Linked DNA regions of Kluyveromyces lactis. The protein of the gene in region 3 interacts with the protein of the main gene of each other region in a pairwise test. Links are inferred from orthologs where the notes say so. Each region holds a gene or a part of one and is shown on either strand. Other genes may lie near its edges. The genes, in order: NEO1, MON2 and DOP1.

Evidence for each region.
Region 1: the proteins of DOP1 (region 3) and NEO1 interact in binary tests that used the Saccharomyces cerevisiae proteins (3 or more experiments, as listed by UniProt). The link is inferred for Kluyveromyces lactis from reciprocal best matches to the Saccharomyces cerevisiae genes DOP1 and NEO1.
Region 2: the proteins of DOP1 (region 3) and MON2 interact in binary tests that used the Saccharomyces cerevisiae proteins (3 or more experiments, as listed by UniProt). The link is inferred for Kluyveromyces lactis from reciprocal best matches to the Saccharomyces cerevisiae genes DOP1 and MON2.

The regions. Positions count from the first base shown.
Region 1 is NC_006039.1:733,242-737,535, reverse strand, and holds the start of NEO1 (aminophospholipid-translocating P4-type ATPase NEO1), read right to left. Parts: upstream 2,882-4,294; coding exon 1-2,881. Other genes in the region: KLLA0_C08371g (60S ribosomal protein eL34), read right to left, coding at 3,714-4,054. UniProt on the Saccharomyces cerevisiae protein: Flippase that catalyzes the hydrolysis of ATP coupled to the transport of lysophosphatidylserine, phosphatidylethanolamine, and phosphatidylserine from the lumenal to the cytosolic leaflet of the Golgi apparatus membrane and ensures the maintenance of asymmetric distribution of phospholipids.
Region 2 is NC_006037.1:663,456-666,122, forward strand, and holds the end of MON2 (Mon2p), read right to left. Parts: coding exon 501-2,667; downstream 1-500. Other genes in the region: KLLA0_A07403g (uncharacterized protein), read left to right, coding at 1-445. UniProt on the Saccharomyces cerevisiae protein: Required for traffic between late Golgi and early endosomes. Required for endocytosis and maintenance of vacuolar structure.
Region 3 is NC_006042.1:1,637,692-1,641,836, forward strand, and holds the start of DOP1 (Dop1p), read left to right. Parts: upstream 1-1,239; coding exon 1,240-4,145. Other genes in the region: TML25 (palmitoyl-(protein) hydrolase), read left to right, coding at 112-798. UniProt on the Saccharomyces cerevisiae protein: Required for traffic between late Golgi and early endosomes, and for the normal structure and organization of the endoplasmic reticulum. Required for normal cellular morphogenesis.

The DNA.
Region 1 (4,294 bases), on a different chromosome or scaffold from region 3:
CAAACATTGAGCAGATTGAGTAGACCGCTTGGCAAACAGAAATGATGAGGCCCCTATGAATCACAAATTGAGATAATTTGGCAGAGCTTTTGTAAGAATTTCTTCCGTGCCACAACAAAAGTTTGGTTAAATGACAAAATTGGGTAATTGAAAAGTCAGCGGCTAACGAGGCTTGCTTACCTTCCTTACCCACAATACCGACACCAACATCAGCACATTGAATCATACTGACATCATTACCACCATCACCGATACAACAAACACGTTTTCCTGTTGCTTGACGGATAAAAACAGCGACATCAGCTTTCTGTTGTGGAGTACAACGACATGCAACAACCGTGGGCAAATTTACAACAATATCGAAGAATTCATCAGGGAAGTATTGCAAATACAAGCCGAGTGATTCACCATCAATCAAAAGACATGAATTTTGGTTTACTTGAAGATACTCCAAGTGATGAAGAGCACCTTCTGGTTTGTTTACTTTAGTAACAGTATGAACGTATTGCCCTCTTGAGATTAATTTGGCTGATATGGAGACACATCTGGCGGTTTCAACTTTATCCCCAGTTAGCATCCATATTTTAATACCTGCGTTTCTTAACAATTCGATTGAAGACTTCACATCTTTTTGAAGTTTGTCTTCGACACCAGTCAAACCAAGTAGCTCCAAGTCATTTTCAAGAAATTTTCTAACAACATTTTGCATATGGACCTCGCGATCCATCATTGTTAAAGATGCCTCCGAGTACTCTTTTTCGAATTGCTCGAAAAGATTTGTGCTCAATTTTTTACGTCCTATCACCAAGGTGCGTAAACCTTCCGTAGCCATGTTACTCGTTTCCTCTTCTAGCCAATCGTTTCTGACCACGATGCTACTCATTACGGTATCAGCTCCTTTCTGTAAAAACCAGTATTCTTGTTTTAGTTTATCGAAGATAATGACACCCATTCTCTTAGAGTCAGAATTGAAGGGAAAGAGTATTTTGATGTCATATTCCAATTTCATTCCGGAATGATCATGAAATAATGAGATTGAGTGACGATCTCTCCTGAAGAGTGACAATCCAACTGATTCTGTAAATTTAACAATGGCAATTTCATCAGGAGATGCTGCTTGGTAAGTTAGTTCACCATCTTCAAATGTAGGTGTAACGTTGTGGCAGATAGCTAATGTTGTCACTAAATCAATAACACGATCTGAAATATTTTTCCGGGTAGTGGTAGGAGTACTATTAGAAGTCCTTGAATTCATTGATTGTATGAAATCCGTAACGATGTCCATAGTTTCATTTGTATAAGATACTGTTCCTAGGTGAATTTTTTTCAATTGCATATCGTTTTGAGTAAGAGTTCCTGTTTTGTCACTTAATAAATATTCGATGCGTCCTAAATCTTCCGGTATGGTACTTGTTCTTACGATGGTATCTTCAATTTGCTTGTCGTGCTCAATTTTATACGCATACACGGACTTTCCTAGATCTAGGTTGACTCGTAATGAAACTGGAATGATGGTGGAGAATAAAATCAAATATCTCATGATATCAACGTACCAATCGTTGTTATTGAAACCCGCAAACGCTACAAGCATTATCGAAAGCAAGAATACACATGCACATAGAATTTTCGATAGCCCATTGATCTCTAGTTCCAATAGACCAGTTTTAGCTTTTGATTTAGTAGTGTTCAAGGCCTGTCTTGTTTCGCGTCCAGTGTAAACAATACAACAGATGCAGGCTGCAGATGATGCAAGGACGGTATTTTCCCACATTGTGTTGTCAACGGATAGAGGTGATGAAGTCGAATCTTTGTAGGTAATCTTGCCCAAAAAGTTATGTATAGAATGTTCAGGAGCTGATGCAGTAATTGTTATATTATTCAGTAGATCATTCTCTGTCAAAGATTGAGTTAATGAACATGCAAGACGTAGTTTCCAGTCAGTTTCACCATCAAGCTGGTCTGTTTTAATGAAAGATTCACCATTTGGCTCATTTGTTTGTAAAACTACTACGTCTGCTGGTACCCTAGCACCTTTTTTTAGCTTGATTATATCACCAACCTTTAGATCTTTCGATGGTATTGGACAGGGTTTATTCACAACTTCATATAACTCATTGTTGGCCTCTCTGTCACGTTTTCTTCTATTAATATCATCCATGGCCTCCTTAGACATTGTAACAGTCAAAACGAAAGCTAGGGGGACAATGTAGGATGAAAGGTAACCAATACGAAGCTGAGGAATGGCCTGAGATAATGCAACTATTAGAAAATATAAATTGAAGAAGAACTTGAATTGTTCATACAATATTAGTGGGATGAATGTAAACGGGTTATATTTTGCGTTTGATATAACATTTGAAGGGTACTTTTTTCTGTCATATATGGGAGTCGTTGCAGGGTGAATTTCTCTTTCTACATTATGATCGTTCAGTTCAATTTTGTTCCCGTCAACGGAATTGGTAGAGCTGTACACAGATAAAGAGGATGGCTTCGATTTTGCTTTTGTAAATGAATGTTCAAACCAACTTTTAGCTTTTGACCATACAGTAATATTATTAGTATTTTGTGCGTTTCTATCACTATTTGACAACATCCTTCCGTTGTTACTGTGATTTGTTATCAATGGAGCGGTATCTGCATCGGAATGTAACATACCAGTTTGGTGATCGCCATGCATTGATTTCATCTCAAAATCTTCGAAAACAGTACTGTTTTCCCTTCTATGAGAATGCTCAGGTAATTGTAAAGATTCTAACGCAGCGTCTAAAGAGTCCTCGAATTGTAGATCAAATGAGTCGCGGTCTGTACTTTGAGCTTGGTGCTGATTAGATTTTGAATATTTATTTGGGATCTGTGAACCAGGTGGAGGCGAAAAGGACATTTGGGTGAGAACGACTAACGAGTTATATTTACAGATAGCCTAACAATGGAGATGATGTTTCCATACAGTCTATTGTTGGATTTAGCCACTGTGTTTACAATATATGTTTAATATTATTATGCAGATTCGATTTGTCTGCAAAGCCCTTTTTTAAATGATAGAATTATGGAGCTTTTTGCAATCACAGGACCAAAAATTAATGAGAACGACAGATATAAGAGTAAAATGCACAAAAATATAGATGTCAAAATACAAGCACAAAGTGCCGGTAATACATTAGTATACGAAATCAGATCGGGAAAGAGTAAGTATAGGGTTTATTTGGCCCAATCATTTAGTGCTTTCAAACTATGAATTAATGTAAATACGCAATAGTTCTTGAACATCTCTTACTATGAAAATAAAGTGGAAGATTAGTGTAACGATAATAATAAAAGATTACATGACCATGATAGTTTAAAAATAAGTATAAGTAAAAATGAGGTACAAAATATGAGAATTAATAATAAAAACATGTTAGCGAAAGATGCGATCGTGCATATGAATACGACAGAAAAACAGCCGGAAACACTCGAGATCTGCAAAACTGGTAACAAACGATCTTCAACTTATGTGTTCAATTTTTGATTTATAATTGGGCTCAACGAAAACCAGTTCCTGGAAACGGTTATCAAGATTTTCCTACCTCATTGACAAGCATAGTTGGGGGTGTTAACAAAATTTTGATGAGATAATTCGTGGTTCGGTATTCCATGTTCTTTATTCATATATGTGAAAGAAAATCCATTCGATAACATTTTATAGAGTGACCTTTATTTTTGAATTAGATAACTTATTTCTTAGACTTCTTAGCATCCTTCTTTTCAGCCTTCTTGGCAGCTTCGGTTTGTTCCTTGATAACTCTCTTGACGATCTTTTGTTCTTCGATCAAGAAAGCTCTAACGATTCTTTCCTTGACGGCGTTAGCAGACTTGGAACCACCGTAGGCTCTGGAAACGGTCTTCTTGGTTCTGGAGACAGTAGCGTATTGTCTTGGTCTCAAGGTAGAGACACCTTGCAATGGAACACCGGTGTCACCACACTTTGGTCTGGTAGCCAACTTCTTGACGTGTTGACTACGCAAAGCACCACCTGGGGTCTTAACAACCTTGATCTTGTTAGACTTGGTGTTGTCTGTAATGAAAAACGGGAAATTCTGTTAGTATTTTATTGCAATTTTGATGTAATTATTCATACGAATAGCTATTGCTGAACCAATCACATATGATTAAATGAATATTCCAAGTGCAACGTTTCTGCTAAAATAGGTAACACATCTTAATTGGAGAAAGTATGGCCAATCTCATCGGCAGATGAGATGCGTCATCATGCACTTCAACATATTAGAACATTTGTTATAGTCTTCAATACTAT
Region 2 (2,667 bases), on a different chromosome or scaffold from region 3:
ATCCGATAACGTTTTACTTGATACCAGAGGACGGGTTAAGATCACTGACTTTGGGTTCTGTGCTAAGTTGACCGATAAGAGAAGTAAAAGAGCTACTATGGTAGGAACTCCTTACTGGATGGCCCCTGAAGTTGTCAAGCAAAGAGAGTATGATGAAAAGGTTGACGTTTGGTCCTTAGGTATTATGACAATTGAAATGCTTGAAAGTGAACCACCATATTTGAATGAGGAACCATTGAAAGCCTTATATTTGATTGCAACAAATGGTACACCTAAGCTAAAACATCCAGAATATCTATCTCTTGAAATAAAGCGTTTCTTAAGCGTTTGCTTATGCGTTGATGTAAAATACAGAGCATCTACCGAAGAACTCTTGCATCATTCCTTCTTTAACATGAGCTGTGAATCACAAGACCTAATATCTCTTCTAGAGTGGAAGAACTAATAACCTCTTAATGAATTATTCTATAGTTATATAATCAAACGTTTACAAAACAACCTCATTTATTTAGTTTTGCATATAATAGGGCTATTTGCAATAGCGTGTCCTGAAGTCCTGGAACTTTCTGAGAAAGAGGGATAGCCCTCAACAATAACGGATAAAGGTCATCCAACAATTCGAAGCTCTGTATGGTAGTATCCACCGTGTTGTAAAATGCAAGTACACTCAAGATCCCATTGGATACTTGTTGCAGCTCTAAACTTTTGACCTTGGAGATGGGTTGTAAATTGAGAAGCTGCTGGTCGGCAATGAACTTTCTTAATACAAATGCCACTCTTGCGATCATGAACGAAAAACATACTTCTCTCACAATTTCACCTTTGTTGGTTTGTAAAGTACAAAATGCTATAAGGTCTCCCAAACAAATTGCCGTGAGATTATAATTGGGCAGAGCCACAGGTTCTTTGGTACTTCCAACGATATTGTCAAAATCAAACTTTGCAAATTGTCTGACAATATCTTCTAAGTTGGCGCATTGTTTGATAACAGCGTCCTCAACCTCATCAATTTCATAATAATATGAACTTGACCATAAAGCAGAACCGAATGGCTGTATTTGTTCTTTCGACAACAATCCCAAAGAAAGACATTTTATAAACAGTTCCTTCAACTGCTTATATATGATAACAGCTTGTATGCCGATGTTTTCATCATCTTGCTTTCCTTCTTTCACTATAGTCGCGATAAGCATTTGTATCAATATGGCGGTATATTCGTTAACATTATCCTCTTCGGTTGCGGTCAAATTGGCCACCAAGGCATAAAACAATTTATCTGACAGCATACAAAATGAATCACATGCTAACTTCCAAAGTACGGGACGTTCGGAATCTATTGAAGGACAAATCATGGAGTTTTTGGTCATCGGATGGGAAAGGTTGTTAAGTAACTTGCTAAATGATCTGCTTTCGATAATCGTTTTATCAAGACGTTCCAGCCTAGATATCCTTTGTGATAGTAATTCGCACGCCGAATAACTGATAGCTTCGAAAGAAGGAATCTTCGTCTTTGTAAGGTCCCCCAATTTAGCGGAAAGCTTCTTTTCAATTCTGTCACGAGTTTCGAAAGGTAGATCAACAATAGCAGAAAGTTGAGCTAAAAGCAAAACCTGCAAATTAGGAGGAAGATCTTCATCAAAAGTGCCAATCGCAGCAAGGAGAGACTTTTGTAGGGGAGAGGGTTTTAGTCTATCTGAAATATGGTCCGGAAGCAATGGATAACGAGCACTGGCATTAATGGTACTTAGACATTTTTCCATGAAGTCTGTGTCGATCAAGGAGTGCATCCTATGGAGCTCATATAGAGGTTTGAAACAATCCATAAAGGCTTGTAAGCAATCTGAGTTTGTTTTCTTTCTGTAGTCATTCGTCGGAATTGAAGTGTAAACAATATTATAACTGCTCCAAATTTCATAGTATTTTCTTATAATCAAGACTGGGAAGTCCTCTATTGCCTTGGAGATTTCCAAAAGCTGTTTGAAATTATTACAAACAGAATAAACAACATCATATGCTGTTAATTGCATCAAATCACCCATTTTAGAAACAAGAATGATCCAATGTTCTGTCATATCATTTTGGGAGTTGAAATACGTTAAGTGCTTAGAATAAATCTGAAGCAATCCCTTGAAGGTAATGTTGACAAATTCTGCATACCCATTAGCGTTCTCAACAGGAAGATTAAATGAAAGCAAAAGCTTCAAAACCTGCGACGCAATAAGATCCCAGGATGGGAAAAGGTTAAAATTTGAGTCCAAAATTCCAAAGAAAGTTTGCACAGCACCATTTTTAACCTCAGGACGAAGATCATATGCACAGCGTACTAGTGTAACCAGTAAATAAATCCACAAAGCCTTTAACTTTTGTGATATAGGAAAATCCTGCTCAATAATTTTGTTTATTTCTCCTTTTTGTACTAGAGCATCATAGGATTTTGTTTCTGATTCCTCAACTGATGCATCTCCTTTTTGCATACGAAGAGAGTCTGCAATTAGCCAAAACTGACTAATAGAGGAAAAGGATATGTTCAAATCCCTATCTTGATTAACAAAATTCGAGAGCGTATCAATGAAATCTTTGATGATATTTAGAGGAAGGTATTGTAGGAAATTGTCCGAAATTAATTTGAATACTTCAAATGACATTTGAATCATATCTTTGTGTTTT
Region 3 (4,145 bases):
GGCATTGACACCATCAGTGTGGATATTTGAGCATACTTATAATAAGCTGGCTCTTTTGCTTTTACTTGGATATTTGAATTCATAAGAAATAAATTTCCACCACCTGATACAATGCCATTGAACGCTGTTAGAGTTGCCTCAAAGGCTCAACCTGCAAAGAACGTGATTCTTGTCTTCCATGGCCTAGGTGACTCAGGTTCGGGTTGGAGTTTCCTAGCTGAATACTTGCAAAGAAGCCCTGCTTTTGCGCATACAAGGTTTGTGTTCCCTAATGCTCCAAATATGAGAATCGATGCGAATGGAGGTATGTCTATGCCTGCTTGGTTCAATATTTACGACTGGGCGAATCCAGATGCCAGAGTAGACGTTGAAGGGATTAAATCTTCTTTGAAAGTAATTAACAGTTTCATTCAAGAACAAATCGATGATGGTATCTCACCCGAAAACATCATTCTTGGTGGGTTTTCGCAAGGCGCTGCATTGACTTTAGCTAGTACGGTTACTTCTCCTTATAAACTTGGTGGTTTCTTTGCACTATCAGGATTCTGTCGTTTAAAGAAAGAAGACTTAGATTCAATTGCCGAAAATAAGAATAAAGATACACCAGTGTTCCACGGACATGGAGACCAGGACCCTATTATCCCAATTCAATACGGTTCAGACGCTAAGAAGTTTTTCGAAAAATATTTCCATCTGTCAGATTATGATTTCAAATCATATAGAGGCATGGCTCACTCTACTTCTCTAGAAGAAATGCAAGATTTGGTTCAATTTTTGAGCAAAGCTTTAAAACTTTGATATATCAATTTCGTCAATAGATGAAGCTTGAAACAAGCTTGAGAAAGCATAGCCTTGAATTAATGGGCTACATTGTCATTCAAAGAAAACTGTTCTTTTTTAAATATAATAATTCTGCCTGTATTTACTAGTCATATGCACCTCAATGTTTTGGCAAGTATATCAATATAGAGGACGCCGTGGCCAGGTTTAGAGGCGCATGCTACTCTGCTCTTCTATCTGATCAACTTGCATTACATTTTACAGTCACTTCTGACGTGTCCGTTGCCATTCATTGGGATTTGACTGTTTGGTTAAAGACACTTTTAATATAATAATAACAAAATATATAAAATTATAAGGTTTGACCAAAGAATGATGCATCAGTACCGAGATAAGGAAGAACATCAAGACAAACTGCCCCTCTGAAACTTGACTTATCGGCATAGAAAAAAAACAGCCATGTCGTTGCCATTGAGGCCCTTGTCTCTAGATGTGAACACAAAGCAGCTAGATTCTAAACAGAAGAAGTTCCACCAGGCTGTGGAAAGGGCATTGCAACATTTCGATGCTGTCACGGAATGGGCTGACTATATCAGCAGCTTAGGAAAGCTTCTCAAGGCTTTACAAAGTTGGTCTCCTAAATTCCAGAATGTTAAATACTACGTTCCATATCCTTATCAGGTTGCTAGAAGATTGTCTTCATCATTATCTCCAAACTTACCTTCAGGAGTTCATTTGAAAACATTAGAGGTTTATAATTACATTTTTGAGAAGATTGGGCCCGACACTTTGGGGAAGGAAGTGAATATTTGGATAGGTGGCGTTCTACCCTTGATGTCTTATGCGTCCATATCGGTTAAACATCCATTGATTGAACTGTATGAGAAATACATTGTAAGTCTATCTTCTGTTACGTTGAAAATTATAGTGAAACCTGTGTTGGCAAGTTTGTTCCCAGGGATCGACGACGAAAGTAGTGAGTCGCAAGCAAGTACCATAAATTTGATAGAGACTCTTTACACTAATCTAGATGATCCCTCTTTATTTTGGCAAACTTCTTTCATTATTATAATCAATAATAAAGATAGAAGATTGGGCGGTCTAGTGTGGTTGACGAAAAAGTTACCATCGTTAAATGCAGTTCCTCATTTAGCTGCAAAGGAAAAGGACACAGCTTTAACTAAAAAGGATTCGAAGGAGAGGAAAGAATTTGCTTTGTCGTTGTTACTCGATGCCTCCAAACCAGTAGTTTCACCCGAGCCAGGTTTGCTAATAAGATCTTTTGTTAGATGTCTTGAAGATGAGAACGAAATCCTAATCCAAAGAGGTATTTTGGACTTACTTTTGCAAAGGTTGCATTTGCATTCACCATTGTTGCAAGTGTTAGTTAAACCTTCCGACTGTCGGCTCTTAATCATGACGGCATGCAGAACAATGTTGAAAAAAGACATGTCTCTCAATAGAAGAATATGGAACTGGCTGCTTGGACCAGTACTAGATCCAGAATCTGGAGATCATAGCGATTCCGAGTATTTTATCAAGAACGGTGCTCAACATTTGTTAGGCGGATTGCATGAGATGCTCGAACACCCTCAGACGTGCATCGATGCTTACAAAATCGTGTCTGCGTTGATGGATCGCTGGCAAATTGGATCTTATTTAACACCGAAAATATTCATCCCACTTATCGAGAAATGCAGAGAGTACTCGGACAATCAATTAGTATTGAAAACAGCGTCTTCTTTCTTTGATTCTGTCGAAACTAATATCATTTGGGGGAAGCTTTTCGAAAAAGTGTTTTGCGATAATGACTATGACCTTCTAATATATGTGCTACAAAATTTCCGCTGTTCCACTGATGAAGAAATAACAGTACGTCACTTGCCGCTAATTCTACTATCGTTACTATGTCAGAGTTCGATTGAAATTCCAAAGTGTACTCAAATATTAGAAATTCTTGTACGAATGATACCTGAAAGAGCCTACTTGCCCATTCATCACTCTTCTTTATCCCAGGGAAGCACGCTATCCTATGAGAAATGCTTTACTGATATCAAATCTTACTATGAACAGGTGTCAGATCCTCTTAATTCCAAAGATCTAAATTCGTCATCTGATTTAAGTCCTCCTTTCAATACGGCAGATCTAACTTTTTTAATCACTTATAGAGTGCATTTACTGTTGATCGAAAATATTCGAAGATATCAAAACATAAATGATATTTCGAAATTGTTTGTATTATTCATTGAAATAATCCCCGAGCAGTATGATGTATCAGAAGAAGCTGAAGTGGTGAAGTGGTCAGATACTGATTTGATAGAGTGTATCTTTGAACAAAATGATGCAATCGAAAGTGCTCCTGAACAGTCACTACAAGGAATTGTTGAGATTTACACTAAATATTTGTTCCGTAATTTACCGATATTGGATTCGATGCGACTATTAAAGATAATTATGAAAGGGCTGTGGTCATTACTCTTAGATCATAATAAACAAATTGACGCAGTCGAAATGCTCAAAGTCATAACAAGACATGTTCCATCGTCAAGAATTGAAAGCTGCTTAGCTTCTGTTTATTTGGGGGATTGCGACATTAACAATCGTCTAGTTGTTCTAGACTGCCTCTGGACTCATCTAGCAGGTAACTTTGATATTATAAAAAGACCTTTGTCCCTAGCTTTGGACGAACTTTCTGATGAAAAGAATTCTAACTACTGGTATGTGCATGAATGGGTGGTATCTATCATTTCTGGTGAATCCGGAAACAAGTTCTTTGAACTTTTGGTTGAAAACCCCCTTCAATTTGAGTTTATAAATAACGAAAAGATTGGCAATATGGACGATTTGGCGCTATTTACTTATCATCTTGATGTTTTGAGAAATGTTTTAAAAACCCCAGACACTGTGGTCTATAAAGCTTTCGGAATTCAATTAGTAACTGAAAAATTATCCAAGGACTGGGCGGCCGAAGACGTATCGTCATATAAAAGCTTGGTTATTGCTGTGCTGCTAAAATTTCTAAGTATCCAAAATGACGCACCTGGCAATAGCATAAAAAGTGCATTATCTCTTTTAAGTTTGCTTGTCAACGGTACTGAAATAAATTTCAAGAACATTGTGACGAGATTGCTCCAAATTTCTACGGAATACATTGCCAGTAAAGTTCCTGATTCTCAAGTTGTTGTCGTATCTTTGCTACAAATAATCTCACAGGTGCTATCTTTATCGGATAAAAGACAAATTAAGCTTGACATCTTTACCGAGGACTCTTCGCATATGAAATATGTTGATTTTCTTGTATCTACAGTAAGTCATATTGATGATGACTTAGTCTTTTCATCCTATGTCAATTTACTTTCCGAGAG